Linked DNA regions of Cricetulus griseus. The protein of the gene in region 2 interacts with the protein of the main gene of each other region in a pairwise test. Links are inferred from orthologs where the notes say so. Each region holds a gene or a part of one and is shown on either strand. Other genes may lie near its edges.

Region 1 (4,629 bases), about 62 Mb from region 2:
GACTCACTGACCTTGCCTGCATTTCAGGGGTCAGGCTTTTCCTCAGGAGGTGTTCGCTTACAGGCTTTAGCAAGCTTAGGAACCAACATCTCCAAATCTGGGGAGCCAGCCAGCATCTCCTCTCTGATGTGTGTGGCCCAGCCACTAGCCCTGGGAGGCAAACGTACCTGCACGCCTCACCCACCACAAGACTGCCTGAAGCTCCAAGGCCTGCTGAGTACAACTGTCTGCCCATCTGCAGAAGTCTTTCAGCCATCAGCTCCCAGGCACAGGGAGTAGCTGTTGTCCTAGCTCTTTGCATACCCCAGTGAAGGCAGAGGATCCTTTGAGCTTCCCAGGTGACAAAGAGCAATCCTAGTGAATCATGCAAAGATACCTGTTCCAAATACAGATTACAGGACACAGGTCTCCCTGAATGAGAATCTAGTAGCCCTGAGGACAGGTTCTGTGCGCTAGGCATCTCAGAAAATCTGGCCCACAGGAGCCATACACCCGCCCCCCAACTTAAAAATCATGTCAGGGAGAATGATGCTAAGATTCTGTCTCAGCTAAATCACAAGCCTGGCTCATTGTTCAGGCAGCTACCACTTGGCCACTCCTCCTTCCCCAAGTCTGGGCCACTGGTCCAGGCAGAAGTGGAGCAAAAGAGAGCACAGTGATAAGAGAGTCACACATGCACTGGCCCAAAGCACCCACTCTGAGCCCCACCCCCACACTCAGTTGCCCCCTGGTTGCGGATGTGGCCTTTGGGCACTAGAGGAACGGACAGCCTACTGTAATCATGCATGAATGAGCTTTTGCTGCTCCACTATCACTGCAGCCCGCAGCCGGTTTCAAAGGGCAGTCAGTCAGTCCTCAGCCTGCCTCTCTGAATCCTCCACCTTTCTGGACCAAAAGATAAGGAAAGGGCCAAGGATTCAAGGTGTGGGCGGAAAAGTGGCTCTGAGCCTAAGGAAAAAGTATCACTTCAATCAGACAGGTAGCTACCTTTTAAAAATGTCTGTAGAGAAAGAGGTAACTGCAGGAAAAGCTTCCGAGACACAGGTAAATGGCCTCGAGATTAAGCATCATCAATCTAACAATGTGTTCAGGAAGATCACTCAACTTCCACCTATACTGACAGTCGGTGACATGAGCCACCATCCCTTCAGTCTCACCTACCCTACTGGCAACAAGCATATGCATTTGCTCTTTATTTTATTTTTAGTTCAGGAGAGGAAGAAACTAGTCGTACTGAGATTGGTGTCCAATCTTTCTCAGATCCCTGCTGCTGCCACCATCACCACCCCTCCTTACCCCCTTCCTGGCAGGCAGCATCTAATTAAAATGGCAAGAACGCTGGGCTCCCTTCCCCGAAGGAGTGTGCTGGGATTAGGGGTGGGGGTGGGGAAGCGTCGAAGCTGCAATGGGGTTCCTGGCAGTATGATCTCCAAACAACAGCAAAATGGATTCTAGATCACTAAAGTCTTATTCAATACAATGGAACGACGTCTGAGGTGTCTCGGAAGAAGGTAAAGGCAAAGCGGCAGAGTTGGGGGAAGGGAAGGTGTTCTACAAAGGACTGGTCACAGACCCGGGAACCACACACACACACACACACACACACACACACACACACACACACACACACACACACGCACACACAGTCTCTCCAGGGAGTTCCGGTGTGGTAGGGAGAAGCTGCTAAAGCGTCCCTTTCACCTGCTGAAGTTCAGCCATAAAACTGAAAGGTCACAGTCACCGAGTTAGAAAGGCATAGGCAGGGCTGAGTTCAAACCGCAGATAAAGGTGAGTGCACCCTGGCGTCGAGGGAAGCGCTGAGCCTGAGCCCCCGCACCAGAGGCAGAACCCGGGAGGGGTCAGTTGCCATCTACTAGACCAGCCCGGAACAGCAATTACTGCCCCCTTGGAGCGACAGGGTCGGCTGGTGGAGACAGCTAGACTCACGATGGCATCTTGCAGGTAGCTGGCAAACCTGAGAGGCCAGTGCCTTTATTCTTGAGGAAATTCTTTTTGCAGCAAAGAGCAGTCGGGTCTCGAGCCTTGGCAAGAGACAGTTGCTCGGGTACACACACACACACACACACACACACACACACACACACACACACACACACACACACACACACACACACACACACACACTCCTTCCATGTAATTCTCTTACACCAATCGAAGATGAAACTGACATAAGCTCCACCGGCTTCCCTGCGGAGCCTCGGGAAGCACAGTCGAGGAGCACAAGGGCAGCCCAGCCCCTGCTGTAGGGTAGGGGCTCAGCCTAGAACCCCATCCGCTGCCCTGGAATCAGGATAGGAAGACCGGGAACGTTCCCTCGCCCAGCCCCAGACCATTGAAAAGAAAGGGGGGAAAACAAACAAACATACACACACACACACACACACACACACACAAAAAAAAAAAAAAAAAAAAAAAAAAAAAAAAAAAAAAAAAAAAAAAAAAAACCACGTTCTGCTCACCCTCAGGGCGGAGAGATCGATTTCATCCAGGCTGCGAGCTGGGGAGTCGCTCGCCATGTCGACTCTTCGCGGGAGAAATGGACCAAAACCAGCCAGAAACGTCTGCCTTGGCAATTCCACCCTGGTCTATGTCGCTCGCGTCCTCATGCGGCTGTCCGCCAGAGAGGCCCGGGGCCCAGCCTCCCCCGCCCACCCGGGCCCCAACCAGAGTGAGATCCCGATCTTCCGAGAGTGTCGATCCGCGGGATCCCGGAGCCCGACCTGCGCGGATCTCCAAGCCCGGAGCCGCGGTGCGTGTGGGCTGCGCGCCCTGATCGGCTAAGGGCGCTGGGGCTGCGTGGGTGTATTTAAATGGGACATGCTTCTTTGCTTGTGCGTGGATGGCGGCTGCATTGGCTGTTATAATGAGACATATCAACTCCTCCACTCAGCTGGGGGGGTGGGGGTGGAGAACCACACAGAACTGTCTATCACCGCTTCCTGGGAGGAGTGGGGGGGAGGAGGCGTGGTCTCCGACTGGGGAGAGGCCGCGCTTCCTGACCGGGTCCCTCTGCACTAGCCTGGGTGGGGGAGGGGCGCGCACCCTTTCCGTCCCAGTTTTTGCGGGTTAATAGTGCTGAATCGAAGAGCAGATCTTGAACCTCGCTGTACAGAGATCCGAAGGCTATTTTTTAATGTGTCCAATTTGTGCAATGCACCAAAATGGCCCTTCGATCGCATCTTGGGGTTTCTTGACTGGATTCAGATGCTCTAATAGTGTAAAGGGTGGTGAGGAAAGGCAGCGGGAAAAGACAGCAGCGTCCAGCCTCCTCCATTAATTATTTGTGGGGCTGGAGTAAAGGCGGGCCGGTGCAACCGGTGCATATAAGGACTTGTGCGCAGGAAAGGGGATCCGCCTCCCCGCACAGAGCGGGTTGGGGAGAAGCTTACACGCGCGGAGCGCGCAGCCTGGCTTTGGCGCTGGGCAGTGGCCGCCTGGTCTCGGTCCTTCGCGGTCCCTGAGTTTCAGGAAGGCAGGTCCGTTTCATCCGTAGTTTTCTCAGCTGGGTGGGTTGGCCAGAAGGTGGAAAGCCTGGAGATGTGAGCTCCGTCTCGACATCGCCACACCCAAGACCTGCGCGTACCGCAATTCCCCATGGAAATGACCGAATTGAAAAGCAAAGCTTGCTCCTTGGGTGCAGTAGCTGGAAGGCTTCAGGTGACTCCCAGAACGACATTAATTGGGCGACACTCCGCCGCCAAAGCCAGCGTTTCCTTCTCTGCTGCTTTTCCCTGGTGACCTACCAGGATTGATGGGGAAAGTTTAGCTCAGAGAGAGGAAGAGCTGACATGTTAGCAATTTGACTTCACCTGCTTTTTAACTCAAACGCTGGGTGTTTGCAGTGGTAACAGGACTTTCTGTTATCAAAAATGTGAAATCACTTCCCCAGCCCCCACAGACCTTCCTCTCTCCTGGTTTGGCCACGCAAAATACGTTTGAAGAAGACATTAATACTGAACTCTCTCCATTCCCTTCATCAATAGCTCCTAGGGTGTTCCTTTCACATCTAAGACAAGAGAACAAGTGCATTGCATTGCGGGTTTGGGTTTTTACTTTGCTTTTTGTTTTGCTTTCTTTGGGGGTGGGGGAAGGACCTCATGTACTTTAGCGTGGCTTCTAATTCACTGTGGAGCTAAGGGTGGCCTTGAACTCATCCTCCTGCAAACACTTCCCAAGTGCTTGGATTACAAGTGTACACCAACACCTGGGCTGCTGCTACTTCTTAAATCATGACGTGTAAACTTCGGAATATGTTAGCTGAGTGAATGAGTGAACACATGCTAATGCTGTTAGTGTTGGCCTGACTTGTTTCAGTCTGGGATCACTCTGGTGAATCAAATGCCCTATAGAACGACCCATGACGCTGGAATGCTGTTCCCAGGGCATATACACATGTCAGCAGTGGTCTGGGAGCTGTGCCTCTAAAGCCTATATGCTGAAACTTTTTTAATGTTTTAAAATATTTGAAGGACTCTATTTATTATGAATTCTCTAATGAAGCCATTCAGCTTATGTAATGGGTGCTGACCCTTAAGCCACTATGAGGGAAAGGCATAAAAGCCATCTTTCCCCACCACTGTTGTGTTCCCCTTGTGTGTCATCTTTTTA
Region 2 (4,112 bases):
GTAATCACTTGTAGCTGAAAGGGACCGGACCCGGCTCCTGAGGTTCTGAATGACTTTGTTGGCATTCTGGAGCTGGGCTTTCAGATCTCTGATGTCCTTCCTCAGGATAGAGCTGTCATCAGAACTGCCATGCACTTGAAACTCCTCCTGCCTCCCCAGGTTGTTCCCGAAAGGCTTCTTTGCAGGTGGGCTGTCCAGGACGGGGTCCAGATACCCCTGATCAGAGCACAGCCCCTCCAGGAGCATCACAGGCCTTGGGCTATTGTGCTCCTCACACTCTGAAAGAGAGAAAGACATCTTCCTGAAGAAGAGCTGGAGGTGCTGCTGTGGCCACTCCATTGTGGGGAACAGGCTGGTCACAGGATCAAGTGCTGGGGTAAAACCCAGAGCAGTGCTTTCTTTAGGTCGGGCTGTATGTTAGGCACTCATGTTTAGCATTCCTTCCTGAATAGGCCTGTGAGCAAGGTGCAGCCACTTTTCATCTTGTTGGCTGGAGAACCCAAAAGCTCTCCAGGAGGCGGTGAAGGTGGTAAGCTAGCTAGTCACAGACCATGCAGAACACACAGCAGACCCAAACCCTCCTGTGCCCTGTGCCCTTAACACACAAGTCAGTCAGTGCCTCCTAAGTGAGACATTAACAAAGCCTCATAGCTTTAAAATGAGCATAAGGACTACAAAACAACAGTGCTTCTGCAACATCCCGGAACAGTGCTATAACTTAAAATGATTGGGCTAGATCAGACAGTGGTGGCATGCACCTTTAATCCCAGAACTCAGGAGGCAGAGGCAGGCAGATCTCTGAATTAGAGGCCAGCCTTGTCTACAGAGTGAGTTCCAGAACAGGGTCCAAAACTACAGAGAAACCCTGTCTTGAAAAACCAAAACCAAACAAAACAAAATACAAAACAGACAAACAAACAAAAAACCAAAAAATAAACTATTGGATTGTAACAGCAAGAAAAGTAGGCCCAGGAAAACAAGACCTTCCAAATAGATCAGTCAGTATATTACCACAAGCTGTGCCAGGGCGGTGGCAGCCACGATGACAGTCAGTCACCATTTTACTAGTAAAATGTTGGTCAGGGTATTTTACTAGAGTTTATTCATTTCGGTTGATATGAGTACCCAGTGAGTTGGACAATTGCTTTATTGCTGTTTTAGCGGATGGAGAAATTGAGGCACAAAGAAAAACTGGGTTTGCACCAAGCAGTCTGATCTTTGGATATCTGTCCCTGACTGCCCCACTATACTGCCTCAGCTTCAAATCTGTAGGAATTCTGTGGTTCCCAATAGTCCTTTGTGAGTACAAAACCAAAATTTTATTCTAAACTTAAGTTTAGGTATACATCAAAGCCCACATATCAGTTTCCTAATAAAAAAGCATAGGTATTTCTCTATAATAGCAGTTATATTGAATTCTTTTTTATTAGCCGTGTGCTAGAAGCTATAGAAGTTCAAACTGGTTGCCCCATTTTGAAGAGTTCTCCAAAGTTCCTGTCCTTCCCTGGTCCTGGGTCTCCTTCAGTCACAACTCCCCTGCCCCACTGCTCATCATGGGTGGGAGTGGCCTCAGGCGTCCAAATGCAGCATTTGACTCTAGAGAGAGAAAGGGGCCCTGTGTGCTTACCGGGGCTGGTGGTCTCGTCACGGTCAGCTTCATTCTCACTCCGGCCACAAGTCTCGTAGCCCAGGTCTTGAAGGTCCACCTGGATTTGCTTGCTGTCCTGTTTCACCAGGGATTCACCTGTGTTTGGGAAGAGACAGTGGGTGGAATAGGGTCCCACATGTTACCCCAACCTCAACGGCACATACCCTAGCCTGTAAGGCCAAGAAGTCAGAGCCAGGCTGGGGAAGAGGTTTTCTTGGACCCTGATGGGAGAAGATACAGCCTGTTATAGTTTATAGGCACCCTCCCCACCTGGGTGAGCCCATGGTTGCCATGGAGAGGCTCTCTTCTGAAAACTGAGGCTTAGTTGAGACTAGACATGGACAAGTCAGGAGTTACATGTTGCTGTGTCAGGAAGCTCCACTGAAATCATTAGGCCCTGTGTCTATAAGGTCTTAGTTTCAATGGAGCTGAGGTGATTAAGAGTCTTGAGACATCTAGCCCTGCCCTGTCCAATAAGGTAGCACTTACCTACCTATGATTATTCTTTATCAAACTAACCAAATTCAGCTTGCTAAGTTCATGCAGCACTGTCCCTGGGTTAAGTATTGATTCTAGAGCAACAGGGATGCTGGGATTTTGAAGAATCTGTTACGGTGCAAAGGAGGGGAAACATAACACACAGAGAACCAAGTCAGCTAACTGACAGCCCTGGAAATCAGCAAGTACAGACGTTAATCTGTTTCAGCCCTTTATTTTTCAACCTAGATTTAAAGATGTGTTTATCTTTACTTCACATGTAATGAATGTTTTGCCTGTGTGTACATATGTGCACTGTGTGCATAGCTAGAGGCCAGAAGAGAGTGTTGGATGCCCTGACCTGTAGTCACAGAGGGTTGTGAGACACCTGGTGGGTTCTGAGAACAAAACTGGGGTCTTCTGCAAGAGAAGCAAGTGTTCTAAAGTACTGAGCCACCCCCAGCCCCATCGCTGTAATGTTAAAACCTTGTTTTCTTCCTTTATTCATTACATCCATGTACAGGTTGGAGTAAAATATTCACACACAGTTCTATAACTATAGTCGTGGCTGAAGTGTTTACAGGTTGGGGTAGAAAGATAAAAGCTGAGAAACAGGTGACTTCATGGGGAGAGGACACTTTGATGACCATAAGTTGGTGACACTCACTGAATATGGCCCTGTACTTCTCCAGCTGGTTTGCCTGGGCAAACACAGTGGCTTCTGAGATGAGTAGCTTCTCCTGGAGGTCTTGATACCGTTGTCTGCACTGAGCCAGCTGGGAACGCAGGTGTTTGGTGGACCCTGATAGGCTAAATTCTGGCTGGTGTCCAGAGTCTTGGGCCTGGGGTTTGTTCTCCAGCTGTGAAAGGACCCAGTACAAGTATTAGGTTACCCTCTATGTGTGACAGCCACCTCTCTGTCTCTGAACACTGTGGACTGCATGCATTACGTGCTTGCCACAGCAGTTCTCAGGCCATTTGGCAGTTCTCTATCTTCCAGGCAGCTCCCGGGCAGCTGGGATAATGTTACATTTATGTTTCTCTCTGCAGCACTGCAGCACAGTGCCAGTCAAGTTTCTAGAACAGCCTGTAGTAAACATTTACACAATCGCTTGCAAGGAAGATGTGGAAATCTCCACTCCATCCTCTCTGCATTTCTGTCCCTGGAGCCCTTCTCAGAATTCTCTATTTCACCAAATCTAAGGCAAAGTTCCTTCCCTCAGAAGGGTATCAGTGACCTCTCACGAGGCCATCACACAGACACTCCAGAACCTCCGAGGAAGCAGCAGTGGTAAGAAGATAGCATTGCACACCATTGGTCTGGCCTCCATCAAGACCCAGAGCATCCCAATAGTATGGCAGTCACATCCAACAAGAAGTCAGTGTCTGAACATTCTCCTCCACATGCTGAGCACCTGGAGGGCAGACATCAACTCATAACCCACATCCAACGCAGTGTGTAACTAGGAATTAAATGCTCAGAAACACCCATTCAATGGTATGGAACCCTTTCTAATAATGCCGAATGGATGCCTCCAATTACAGAGCCCTGCTTGCAGCATCAAAGTACACCCCCCCTCAGTACTTCCTGACCCACGTGGCAGAACAGTGTAACACAAAAACTGAAACCTTGGCCCTTCTTTGGGTTTCTCACCTTACCCTGCCCTCACTTACTTGGTGGGTGTCCACTGAGAGGGCTGCCCCGAGATTGAGGCTCTGGGGTCTGGGGCCAGGCCTTGTGGTCACATTCTCCTGCTCTTGGTGTCGATTCTTCCCAGGGGAAGGCAGGCCTGTGTTCATCCTGTCCACCTCCCTGGCCAGGCGCACGAGGAGCTCTGGCATCACCTTGCTGCTCCCCTCAGAGTTGCTCAGGACCAGCTGTTCTTTGAGGATGTTGATGATGTTGTGGGCACTCTTCAGCTTCCCCTGGACCTTTCTGAACTCAGCCTGAAGGCTGCTCTCATCCACACCCCCTTTGTCGGCCACA
Region 3 (3,141 bases), on a different chromosome or scaffold from region 2:
TAGAAAAACTAAGAGTGAAGAAAACAGCCAGGCTGTGATGGTGCACGCCTTTAATCTAAGCACTCAGGAGGCAGAAGCAGGTGGATCTCTGTGAATTTGAAGCCAGCCTGGTCTACAGAGTGAGTTCCAGGACAGATTCCAAAGCTACAGAGAAACCCTGAAACCCTGTGGGAAAAACAAAAAACAAATAAACAAAAGAGTGAAGAAAAAAAGAACAATTCTATTTAAGTAAGTTATTACCAAACACCATTAAGTATCTGTTTCAAACAAAACTAAACAAAGCCACTTTCTTTTTAAATGTATCCATCCTCTGTATTAAGTCCTGTTCATGGCAGCCTTGACTTCTACCAGCTGGGATCCCAAGGCAAGTGGCCACTGCACAGAGGGTGAGTATGGCTCTGATCAATGACTCAAGGCTGCTTCTCAGCTTATTTCCTGTTACTGTGTATGATGGCCAATCTTGGCTGTCAACTTGACCACAGCTGGAATCAACTAAAACCCAAAACCCACGCAACTGGGCATGTCTGTGAGGGATTTTCTTGACTGGATCATTAGGGGTGGGAAGACCCACCCTAAATCTGGATCATTTGAGGTGGGAAGACCCATCCCAAGTCTGGACCACATAAAAGCACATGGAAGAAGAAAGCTTTTGCATTAGGCTTGCCTGCCCTCCCTCTCACTCCAATATCCCCCTCCCTCCCTCTCTTCCCCCCCATATATATGTATGTATTCTATCAGTTCTGTTCCTTTAGAGAACCCTAAAACACAGACAAGTGCAACTGAAGGGAGAAAGGGTTTATTAGGCTCATAATTTGAGGGTACAGTCCATCATTGCAGAAACATCAAGGCTGCAAGCACTTGGAGCAGCTGGTCACATGACACCCATGGTAAAGAACAATGGATTAATGCATGTCTGCTAGTGCTCAGCCTGCTCTCTCATTCCATCTAGGGCCCAGCCATGAAATGACACCACATTCAGGATGGCTCTTTTCACCACAATTAAGAAAATTCTGCAGGCTTGCCTGCAGGCCACCCAAATCTACAACATTCCTTGTTGAGACTCCCTCCCCAGGTCAAACAATCAATCACAACTAACAATCAATGGCATATGCCAACTAATCAGCTGGCATATTTGCCTACCTGAGCAGTCACTCCAAACCCAGAAGAATATAGCCAATGAGAGGTCACAACCCTGGATCTGAGTAGTAGTATCACTCTTCTCAGTTAACTTCTTTCTTTCCCGCTTTTCTTTTTCCTTTTTTTTTCCTTTTTTTTTTTTTTTTTTTTTTTTTTTGAGACAGCACCTCAGTATGTAGTCTTGGTTAGTCTGGAGGCTATGTAGACCAGGATGATCTCAAAATCACAGAGCTCACCTGTATTTGCCTCACCAGTGGTGGGTTTGATATTCCCAGCACTAAGTTACTTTTTTTTTTTTAACTTTATTTAACTTATTTCTTTTATGTGCATTGGTGTGAAGGTGTCAGATCCCCTGGAGCTGGTGTTACAGACAGTTGTGAGCTGCCATGTGGGTCCTCAAAAGCAGCCAGTGTTCTTAATTGCTGAGCCATCTCTCCAGCCCCCCTCAGTTACTTTTAACAGCAACAGGGGACCTCTCCAGGACAAAGCATTCAGAACCGCTCACGCTGCACCATCTCCCCCTGGTGGCTGGCTTTGGAAATGGAAATTGGCTTGATTCCTACTGGGAAGGGATAAACATTTTAAATGCTCCCTTTCCTTCAATCCGTCCCTTTTTTGGATTGAATCGGGCTTCATGTGTGCAACACACACACTGCTACTGCCCTTCACTCCTAGACCCACTCCTATCTTTAAACCACTAAGGACTCAAGATAGTGATACACACATAACCAAGACCTGAGTCAACCAAAGTGCTTCAGCTGACGCAGAGGCGGAGGCAGCTGTGGACCTTTGCCTCCTGTCCTTTCCTTCCTTGCCACTTCAAGCCTACTGATAGCGATGGACACCGCTTATCAGCGCTGCCTTTCCTGTTTCCTCCACCCCATCCACCTCCCAGAGCCGCAGGTGCAGTGGTCATGGATCCTTGGCCATGGCCTAGCAAGAAGTCATGCTAGGGACCTCTACCATAGGAACTGGTGTCTCAGTCCATCAGGCTGTGGTGCTGAGGTTCACTTAGAAAGCTGAGGGCTGCACTCAACTGCGGGACTCCTGATCTCCAGACACTGTGCAGCATCCTGGCTCCTCCAGGAAGAAGGAGACGCTCACCAGGATATCTAGAACAGGAAGAGGGGTACAAGACAGGGTTATTAAGGCCCCAAAGCACAGCAGGGTTGTCTCTAACACCTCCAAAGAGGCAAGCAGCAACAGGGATAGGGAGGCAGCATGGGGAACTAATGGAAACCAGTACCTGGCACAAGGGTTTGGCACTCATCTTCTGAAATTTGGTTCCAGGCCTTAGGCAGTGCTTGGATGCTGGCCAAGTCTCCCCAGTGGATGGAGGAAAGGAGGTATTTTCTCTTCAGGTACCTTCCCAGAAGTTAAGGACTGTTCAAAAAAAGGAAATCTGGGAAGCTAAAAGTGACATCAATATACCTTCCCAGGTGGGCAGGGTTCACCAGTGCCAAGAGGAATGATGAGCACCAGTACCGCAGTACAACTTGATGCTACTAGGAAAGGGACTCGGATCTCACAGGCTGAGGGTGGACCAGACAGAAGAGCAAAGTGACTTGAAAGATAAAACTCAGTGACAGGGGACTGGAGTGATGGCTCAGTGGTTAAAAGCATCGACTGCTCTAACAGAGAACACAAGTTCCCAGCACCCACATGGCAGCTAACAGCTATCTGTAACTTCAAGATCTGAGACATACATGGTTATTAAGACATACATGCCGGCAAAATACACAGACATACATGCAGGCAAAACACCAATGCACATAAAATAAAAGTAAATACATTATTAAAAAAATAACAAAACAAAACAACTCAGTGGCAGTTCTAGTCAGCTGTAGAGGCCCACGCCTTTAATCCCAGCACTATTTAGAGAAATCAAAATGGTAACAAACACAAAAACAAAAGTCTGGCAGTTCAGATGAACACACCACTGGAAGAAACAGAGAAACAAAGGCACAGGGCAGAGGAAGCATGGAGTGGACTGGCACTGCAAGC
Region 4 (4,539 bases), about 110 Mb from region 2:
TCTGGATTGTTTCTAGGAATATAATTTTATTATTGTTATTACAGAGGTTAAGATTTAACTATGCATAAAGGTTATCATGTGCTCTTTTAGCCAATATTATAGATGATTTCCTATATTATTGACTCACCTTCAAAATATAATTTTTAAATTGCTTTATAAGATTATCAATATATAGTCAATTTAATTATCACTTTCTTATTTGGGAGCATTTAGAGCATTAGATTATTTCTAACTACAAGTAGCCCTATAAGACAAAAATTCTTGTACATTCATAATTTTATGCTTTCGTCGCCCAAACCCACAATTTCTGGATCATATTGGCTTCACCTTCTGTTTCTAAATCTGTCTCCTTACATGTCACTCTTGGAGAGTAACAGCTATCCTTCTTAACAGTGTTTTGTGAGGATATAGGGAGACAATGCACATAAGCATGTTTTGAAAATGGTATTTGTTAGTCACTATTTACATGTGATATATACATGTTAGGTGTTGGTAACTTTAATATCGATCAGAGTCTCAGTTCTCAACCTCATGAAACCAGAAATGTAATTTTCAATAAGTTTTAGTTCCTTTATTTGAAAGTAATGAAATAATGATAGTATTACATATGCCATTAGGGCTCAGTTGGCAATTCTATTAATTTAATTTTTCTCAGAATGGGAAAATTACTATAGAAACAGGATAATTTATTATGGATGCATTTTATTTACTATATGTAGCAATCATACAAGTAATCTGAATTCATCGTCAACTTGCTTGTGCCATTTTCACTTTTTCAAAAATATGCCTATGGGTTTTCATAAAAAGATAATTTGAAAACTAATCTGATAATTATGTCCACATAAAACACAAAGCTAAGGACATTATTCATAGAGCAGGCTCTTGCTTAGCATAAAATGTATTTTATATCTTCCAGAGGCAGGCTAGAACCACAGAAATGATGGAGACATGGGAAGGAAAGGAACCTTCATCTCAGAGTGCTACCAGTGCCTCTCGTCAGCTGAAATCATGAATTCTAACGAAGTTACAACATTATTTATGAAGGGTGCCAATAGAAAGGTAACATTTCTTTTATATAGAGATATCTCCAAATTAGAATGTTGAAGTAGCAATGGATCACGCCCAAGACCTAAACACAAGAGGCCTTTCTTCTTTCTCAGCTATAAACCAGCAATTTTCTAGGAATCTCACCAGAAACCCTATCTACAGTAAATACCTCTTACAGTTAATACCCTCTTCTACCATTCTTATGACACGTGGTTTTATTTTTGGACAGTAATCCAGTCTAGGACACCTCTAGAACCATCCAATAATATAACTTATTGAGAAAAAAAGAGAGAAAAGGTTTTAAAATCCTTTCTAAGAAATCTTTCAAGGCGTAACTTGAGAACCACCAAAAGAGTGACTCTCCAGAGCTCCTGCTAAGACACTTGAGGGTATAATGTCTTTGAAAAGCCTACACCTGTGTTCTTGAGCATGTCTTATTTTCCCTGAGTGATCATCTCTGTCAACCCCTATGCTTCATAAATCTATGTTTAAAATCTCTCTTTTTTAAATCAACTCCAACTCTTTCATACTAGCTAATTCCAACATTAATTTTTGCAGTAAAGCCAAGGAAGGGCTTCGCCTCAGTGGAAGTCCCCAAGGGTAAGAGGACTTCTTGGGCTGCTGGAAGCAGGTCTGGGCTGCTGCACCGAGGCTACCATAATCTTCACTAAAGGAATAATACAGACACTGCTGAAGACTTTAGATCAGTCTACCAATCTCTCTGTTACTTCAGGTCCCAAGATTTGGGGTCCTCATTTTGGCTGAGGGCTTCTGTCTTTAAAGGCACCATTTTATTTTATTTTTTGAGACAGAGTTCCCTTTATGTAGTGCAGGGTGACCTCAGATTTGAGATCCTCAGCTTCAGCTTTCCAAATTCTGGAGGATTAAAAGTGAACACCGATACATAGGACTGGCATTCTATCAAACTTATCTATCTATACTTAAGGAATTTAGGGAATTGTTTGTAGAGAGTGGGAGAGGCTAGGCAAGCAAGGGTGAAATAATGGCTGCACCCCACACTTTCCTTATTTTTACTGCCTACTTAATAATAAAGAAGGAAAGAAGCCTTATAGAGTTATTTAGTACATTCTATCTTTACCTCAAAAATGAAGGACCAGGTCCCTGTGACACAGATAAACCAATAGGGCCAGGAAAAAAGACTTTCCCCTCACAAGTCTTATGGGAAAAAAAAACTTTTAGTTTTTTACCACTAACCCCGAGGATCATTTGTAGTGAAAGAGATCTATAAAACAGCTGACCTGAACAAGGGAGAGCTCTTGGTCCCCAGACTGATAGCTGGGAAACCAGCATGGGACTGATCCAGACCCCCTGAATGAGGGTGTCAGTGAGGAGACCTTGGAAATCTATGGGGCCCCTTGTAATGGATCAGTATTTAGCCCTAGCATAGGAATGGACTTTGGGAGCCCATTCCACATGGAGGGATACTCCCTGAGCCTAGACACAAGGGGGTGGGCGTAGGCCCTATCCCAAAGGCTACCACAGACTCTGAAGACGCCCCCCATGGAAGGCCTCACCCTCCTTGGGGAGCAGAAAGGGTTTAGGATAGGTAGGGTGTTAGTTGGGGGGACAGGAGAGGATGGGAGAGAGAGGGAACTGAAATTGACATGTAAACTAATCTTTCTAATTAAAATTAAAAAAATTAAAAAAGAAAAAAATCTAAACGAGACCAAATGCCTCAAAATTTCCCAGCAATTTAGAAACAATGCTATTCCTAAAACACCACTTTACTCGTTTTGTAGACTGTGCACTACTTTGTCAACTGTAGTTTCAATGGATCCTTGTAAAAACCCTCCCACACAAGGCAAGGGAGATACTGTTGCCGTCATTCTACAAGAAAATAGTAAAACCTAAAGGCACCGAATGAGTGGCTTAAGGTTGCTTACAGTTAGGACAGAGCCAGGAGCCCAGCTCTCTTTTCTATCCAGTACTTTCTAGGCAAGAGGAAGTTCCCTTACAGGGCAGAGGAGGAGGGGGCCCAGCCTACAGGGGGCAGCTCTGCGTCTACTTCCCGTCTGTGAACACGCCGTTCTTACCCTTTCTCTTGGTTCTGGTCCTTATTCAGACTCTTATTTTTCTGCGCGGGTTTTAGTCCCTGGGAATCTCACTCCAAACTCCACACTCTCCAAACGAGTCGCGTCCTTGGTATCCAAGGTAGCCGCGCCGCTTGTGCAGCCTGGCCCTTCCGCTCTTTCCATTGGTCCGTGGGTCTCTTGGGCCAATGAGATTGGAGCAACGGCTAGGCTTTTCCACCAATCAGCTCGTGTCACTCTATCTCTCCGGCGCACTGTCTCCTGGGATATGTAGTTCCAAGGCCCCTGGAGCACTTGGATATCCGCTACCTTTAGAACTACATATCCCGGCGGCCTCCGACCAAGGGCGGCAATAGAGGAAGAGCAGGGTCAGGGTTTTAACCAGTGGTACTTTGAAGTTGTCACTTGTCACCGGGTTTGCTTTACAGCCTTCGGGCCTCTATCTCGGTGGCGAGGAGGCCTTGTTGGTCCCGCGCTGCGGAGCGGGCATGTGGGGCCGCCTCTTGCCGGGCGCCCTCCGCGGGCGGGCGAGCGTCCTCTTCCGGGGCTCGCACGGGGCGCGGCAGGGCTCGGCGCCCGGAGACCCGGCGCTGATGCAGTGGACGCTGCGGGTGAGCCCGTTCTGGCGGCTGAGGACGCGGCTCCCCTGCCACCTGCTCGTCAGGGCCCTGGATCCCCTGGCGCACCCGGACGGCGAGCGCGTGCGGGTGGCGGTGCGCGGTGCAGAGCGCGGGGCGCGCGGCCTGCAGGTGGAGTACGACGCCGCTCGGCGGGAGGTGGCCGTCCTGTCGGACGACATCGACCCCCGGGCCTTGGTGGAGGTGGACGCGCCCCTCAGGTTTGGCAAGTGCAGTGAAAACTGGTTAGGATTCCTGCTTTCCAACTTCATGGAACAAATAATAAGTTAACTATATAGATTTGGAGACCTACGGAGTAGAGGCATGGAGACAGTAACCAGAAGCAGGCTTCTGGTTAGAAGTAACGATGAGATTGGGATTGACAGCAGGGGTGGCATCAATTTTCACAGGTGCTGTTTTAAGTTTTGTTTAGCTCTCCATTGACACCCACCTGTGATGGTTTGAAAGAAAATGGCCCCCAAAGGGAGTGGCACTAATGGGAGGAGTGGCCTTGTTGGAAGAAGTGTGTCACTGTGGAGGGTGGGCTTTGAGGTCTCCTATGCTCAAGCGACTCCCAGTAAGACAGACTACTTGTTGCCTGCATAAGATGTAGAACTCTCAGCTCCCTCCCCAGCACCATCTGTTTGCAGCTGAAATGTCCCTCCATGATGATAATGGACTGAACCTCTGAACCATAAGCCACCCAATTAAATGTTTTCCGTTATAAGAGTTTCTGTGGTCATGGTGTCTTCACAGGACAGAAACTCTTAAGACACCACCTTAATCTGTATTGTGGTAAAGCCCCCTCAGCACCTTCAGATTAG
Region 5 (4,112 bases), on a different chromosome or scaffold from region 2:
CTTGTTTCTCTTCACCAAGATAATTTTGATTAGAATCAGAAAGATGAAATAAAATATTTCAAATTTCATTACAAATAAATTTGATTTTATTTAAACTGTGGGTATTCTTAGCATCAAGAAATATGGCCACAATTACTGGCATTTATTTGAGTATTCCTTGAATTATTATAGATATTAAAAATGTCATTGCTAATCTGGGCTTCATCAGCTTTCTGATGAAGTAGTAGAATTCCCTTATTACATATGAAAGGGTCTTAGGCACTGAACACAAGATTTCATACCTAGCGAATGACCCAGTATAATATGAAGAGGATCAAACATTTTAATCCCAAACCCACTGGGTTTTATCTCAAATTCTGACTTCAATTTCTGTGTTTATGGCTTCATTTTTATACTAGAATATCTTAAGAACCTACAGTACCCATATGGGAAATATCTGCAAATGTCTCATTTTGTAACATTGGTAAATTTCTGCTTTAGAATATTAAAATAAGGATTGGTATTTTTTAAAGGTACAAAACAAGCCCAAGTTGACATAAAGTGTTTTTAATGACCCATTTGTGATTTATATTGCAAATTTTAAATGCAAGCTAAGTGGGAAATAAATGAGACATGATTCCCAGCCTTTCTATATCCAAAGCAACAAATTCTTCCACTAACTTTAGTATTGCATAATTCAATCTACACATCAGAGGAAGCTGTGTGTTGGATATGGCTAGGGAAGTGACAGTTCAGATAGATGTGTGTAGGGTCATCCAGGTAACTCCAACAGGCTACAGGAAAATGATGCTCACTTCCCCGCTGTGAATTCTGCATTCCTCATTGTAAAATCAAGAAATAGTTTTAAGCTGATGTTCTGTTGATGGCCTTCTTTTTATATTTGTCCTTTAGTACATGATCATGTATTTTTCTGGTAAGAGACTCCATTTTTATACCTAGAATATGTCACTAGAGCCCTTTATTTATCCAGAAGCCAATTTAAAATTCTAGAAATGTAAGAGTCACCATATGAAACCATGATCTGTGTTTGGTATGTACTTTAAGTCTCTCAGTTTTCAAAAGCATATATTTGGTAAGGAATTGATATTTGATATGCAAATATGTCATATAATAAGAGATTGGATCATTACAAAGAAATCAAATAAAAGATCTTCTTTCTGGAAATTTAGGAATTAGACAGAGAAACAAATTGCTATTTCCACAAAGAGGAATTCCAGACCCATCATCCATATGAAAGCAGCCATTCTTTCTGAAATGTCACCAATTCTTCAGCACTTACTGTACTGTTCACTTCTGTAGCTTTCTTTCAGAAATTCAAACAATCAAGGATATTGTACAATGTGCATGACATTTTCCATAGCATGTCAAAATAAGAGCCCTATAAAAGTGCAATCCTTCCCCCCAGTGCGCATCCAATGGCTGCTTTCTGATACCTGTAAGGAATCTTGGTGTACTTGGTTTATCATTGTACAAATCAGCAGCCTTACCTTGCCCAGCTGGTCCTTCTTGACGAAACCAGTGGCAGCAGCAATGTTCCCTGCTCCCTCCACTGTCTTCTGGGCAACTGCTGTCACACCAGTCACCACTGCCCCTCCAACATTTGTCACTTGCTCTTTGGTCTTCTCAGCCACTTAAGAAAATCAAGAGCAACAACATTAAAAGATAGTGGTGTGGCAGACCTTAATTCTGCTTCCAATAGCTGTCAACTTCTACATACACCCATGCCATAGATAGCAAGAGTCTGAAGAAACAAGACACCAAGGGAGAACCAACAGGGTGCAGCCAAACACTGGGTCTGTGTTACAATTATGTATAGACTAGAAAATCTTGAGAGTTTAGTTATAACACAATGCAAACAAGATTTGGTTTGCCTTGAGGCACATAGACAGAAAACAAGGCACTAGGTACAGTATTAAGTTGTCAGACTCTTTGAGCACTATTTCAGTTTCGATGCCAACTATTTGATCTCATTTACAAAGTTCACTTCCATTATCTGCTCAAAGTACATGCCTCTCCCACATCTAGATTCACTGTTTTCTATGTACAAAATTCAAAATGTTCCTAAATCTTTCACTTTCACGTACCACCAATTCGTACCACCAGCAGAAAATTTCAACCATAAACTTTGTTGCATGTTCAGAATTATTCTAAAATAGAATATGAAATTGCCCTCAGATAATATGTACAGGTATATATAGTATAAGTGAATTTCATGTTTAGACTTGCGTCCTATTACCAAGACAACTCATTATAAGTGTGCATTTATCCCCAAATCAAAAATAATTGAAATCTAAAGCAAGTGTTCCTTAAGCACCTCTGATAAGGAGGCCCTATGTGTTCAAACATGCTCCTAGAATGATTTGGAAATAGGTGATAGAAAAAGACATGGTAAAGAAAAAGATAGTTATTTTAAAAGATTATTTTTAATTATGTGTACTTGTGTCTCTTGGGGCAGTTATGTGCACATGTGTGCAGGTGCACAAGGATGCCAGATAGTGTTGTCAGATCCCCTGGGGCTGGAATTACGGGACAATGAAGGTCTCCCAGCATGGGTGCTGAGAACATAATTCTGATCCTATGGAAGAGGAGCAAGTGTTCTTCACACTGAGCTATCCCTCCAGCCAAACAAAAATGTTAAGACAAAATTTCAGTTAATGCAAATCAAATGTATTTCCATTAACTCCATAGTTCCATGCAAGGAGTGAAAGACATGAGAGCCCACTTTTTAAATAATACTAAGTGAAAAAGTAAAAGAACCTGTCTGCACCTGAACCTCTAAATCCTATATCCACAAAGGCAAATGTCTCCCAACTCTCATTCGAATGGATGTCATGTTTGCCTTTCATTTACTCTACAATTTTTTTTTATTTTGCCCCATATATCAGCATTAGGTTGTTGAGTCCCCACTCCTCCTGTGTTTTCTCTCTTGAGCAAAAAAGCATGTTCTTCTTCAGGATCTCCTGAGAAGCCTGTATCCTCGTAGCCTGAGCTGAGGAATCACACCACATCAACTGTTCACATGGTTACTGCACTATACAGATTTCATGTCATCAGCCAGAAAGACAAATAATCCAATAATGTGGACAATGAAAATTAATTCGGAAGGAACAAGTTGTGAAATGAAGTTTAGTTGGCTTGTAAAGTCACAGCTGACCCCTTAGACCAAGCAGTGTGGGGAAGCCTGAAGGTCACTCAGACTGCAACCAGAATTCACATAGGTGACTCTATAGCTGCCTTTCAGGTTTGAGCTAAGTCTGCCTATGGAATCCCTGCCCCTCAGTGTGCTACTTGAAGAGCACTGGATATTCACAGTAATTTTAAAGGCCAGAGCAGAGCTATATTAGAAAAATTGATTTTAAACAGCACTGGAATTATACTGAACTCTGTTTCAGCTTGTTACTTTTTCTTCCAAGAATATGATTTAAAAATTTGCTTGAGATTAACATTTTCTTGTTAAAACATCTCAAAGCAAGACAAAATAGGCTTTGCCTTTTTACATCCTCATGTTTTCTGCCAACCATAAACTTTACTTAATGTGCACACTTCTTTATATAAATATAAACTTTAATCTGTTATTTTTAAAACACAAAAATTGTACAGTAAGTATAATTTATACGTGATTTCCATTTTACTGTTTTATAAAAATAATAAAGAACATTATAAAATGACAGAATATGGTAGTATAATAATAGCTATGGCTAAAAAGATAAAATTATAAACATCTGTAGGAATATATTCTGTCTTTAAGGTTTACAGTTTATCTACTCATTGGCACTGCCTTAAAAAACAAAAGGAAACAAACCTTTTAGTGCTCTGTCTGTTTAATAAATGACTTCTATTTTGTGGTTAAAGATGTTATAATAATGATCAAAAGAGAATTTAGCTACTATCTTAGTTAGGGTTTCTACTGCTGTGATGAAACAGTATGACCGTAAAGCAAGTTGGGGAAGAAAGGGTTTTATTCAGATTATACTTCCACATTGCTGTTCATCACCAAAGGAAGTCAGAACAGGAACTCAAGCAGGGCAGGATCCTGGGGCCAAAAGCTGCTTACTGGCATGCTTGCCCTAGCTTGCTCAGCCTGCTTTCCTATAGATCTCAGGACCAGCAGC

What was found.
Region 1: the proteins of myomegalin (region 2) and Tnik interact in a two-hybrid assay, tested with the Homo sapiens proteins (2 studies listed by BioGRID and IntAct). The link is inferred for Cricetulus griseus from reciprocal best matches to the Homo sapiens genes PDE4DIP and TNIK.
Region 3: the proteins of myomegalin (region 2) and CUNH1orf109 interact in binary tests that used the Homo sapiens proteins (3 or more experiments, as listed by UniProt). The two-hybrid records come from large-scale screens. The link is inferred for Cricetulus griseus from reciprocal best matches to the Homo sapiens genes PDE4DIP and AIRIM.
Region 4: the proteins of myomegalin (region 2) and Ccdc146 interact in binary tests that used the Homo sapiens proteins (3 or more experiments, as listed by UniProt). The two-hybrid records come from large-scale screens. The link is inferred for Cricetulus griseus from reciprocal best matches to the Homo sapiens genes PDE4DIP and CCDC146.
Region 5: the proteins of myomegalin (region 2) and Snca interact in a two-hybrid assay, tested with the Homo sapiens proteins (2 studies listed by BioGRID and IntAct). The link is inferred for Cricetulus griseus from reciprocal best matches to the Homo sapiens genes PDE4DIP and SNCA.

Annotation. Positions count from the first base shown.
Region 1 is NW_023276806.1:120,727,777-120,732,405, forward strand, and holds the start of Tnik (TRAF2 and NCK-interacting protein kinase), read right to left. Parts: upstream 2,946-4,629; 5' UTR 2,538-2,945; coding exon 2,481-2,537; intron 1-2,480. UniProt on the Homo sapiens protein: Serine/threonine kinase that acts as an essential activator of the Wnt signaling pathway. Recruited to promoters of Wnt target genes and required to activate their expression. May act by phosphorylating TCF4/TCF7L2.
Region 2 is NW_023276806.1:58,761,706-58,765,817, reverse strand, and holds part of myomegalin, read right to left. Parts: coding exon 3,800-4,112; intron 2,986-3,799; coding exon 2,793-2,985; intron 1,745-2,792; coding exon 1,628-1,744; intron 279-1,627; coding exon 1-278. UniProt on the Homo sapiens protein: Functions as an anchor sequestering components of the cAMP-dependent pathway to Golgi and/or centrosomes.
Region 3 is NC_048595.1:28,111,515-28,114,655, forward strand, and holds the end of CUNH1orf109 (uncharacterized protein C1orf109 homolog), read right to left. Parts: intron 2,503-3,141; coding exon 2,384-2,502; intron 2,250-2,383; coding exon 2,170-2,249; 3' UTR 781-2,169; downstream 1-780. UniProt on the Homo sapiens protein: Part of the 55LCC heterohexameric ATPase complex which is chromatin-associated and promotes replisome proteostasis to maintain replication fork progression and genome stability.
Region 4 is NW_023276806.1:173,067,619-173,072,157, reverse strand, and holds the start of Ccdc146 (coiled-coil domain-containing protein 146), read right to left. Parts: upstream 3,255-4,539; 5' UTR 3,102-3,254; intron 1-3,101. Other genes in the region: protein FAM185A, read left to right, coding at 3,587-3,941. UniProt on the Homo sapiens protein: Essential for sperm flagellum biogenesis and male fertility.
Region 5 is NC_048601.1:81,930,443-81,934,554, reverse strand, and holds part of Snca (alpha-synuclein), read right to left. Parts: intron 1,631-4,112; coding exon 1,488-1,630; intron 1-1,487. UniProt on the Homo sapiens protein: Neuronal protein that plays several roles in synaptic activity such as regulation of synaptic vesicle trafficking and subsequent neurotransmitter release.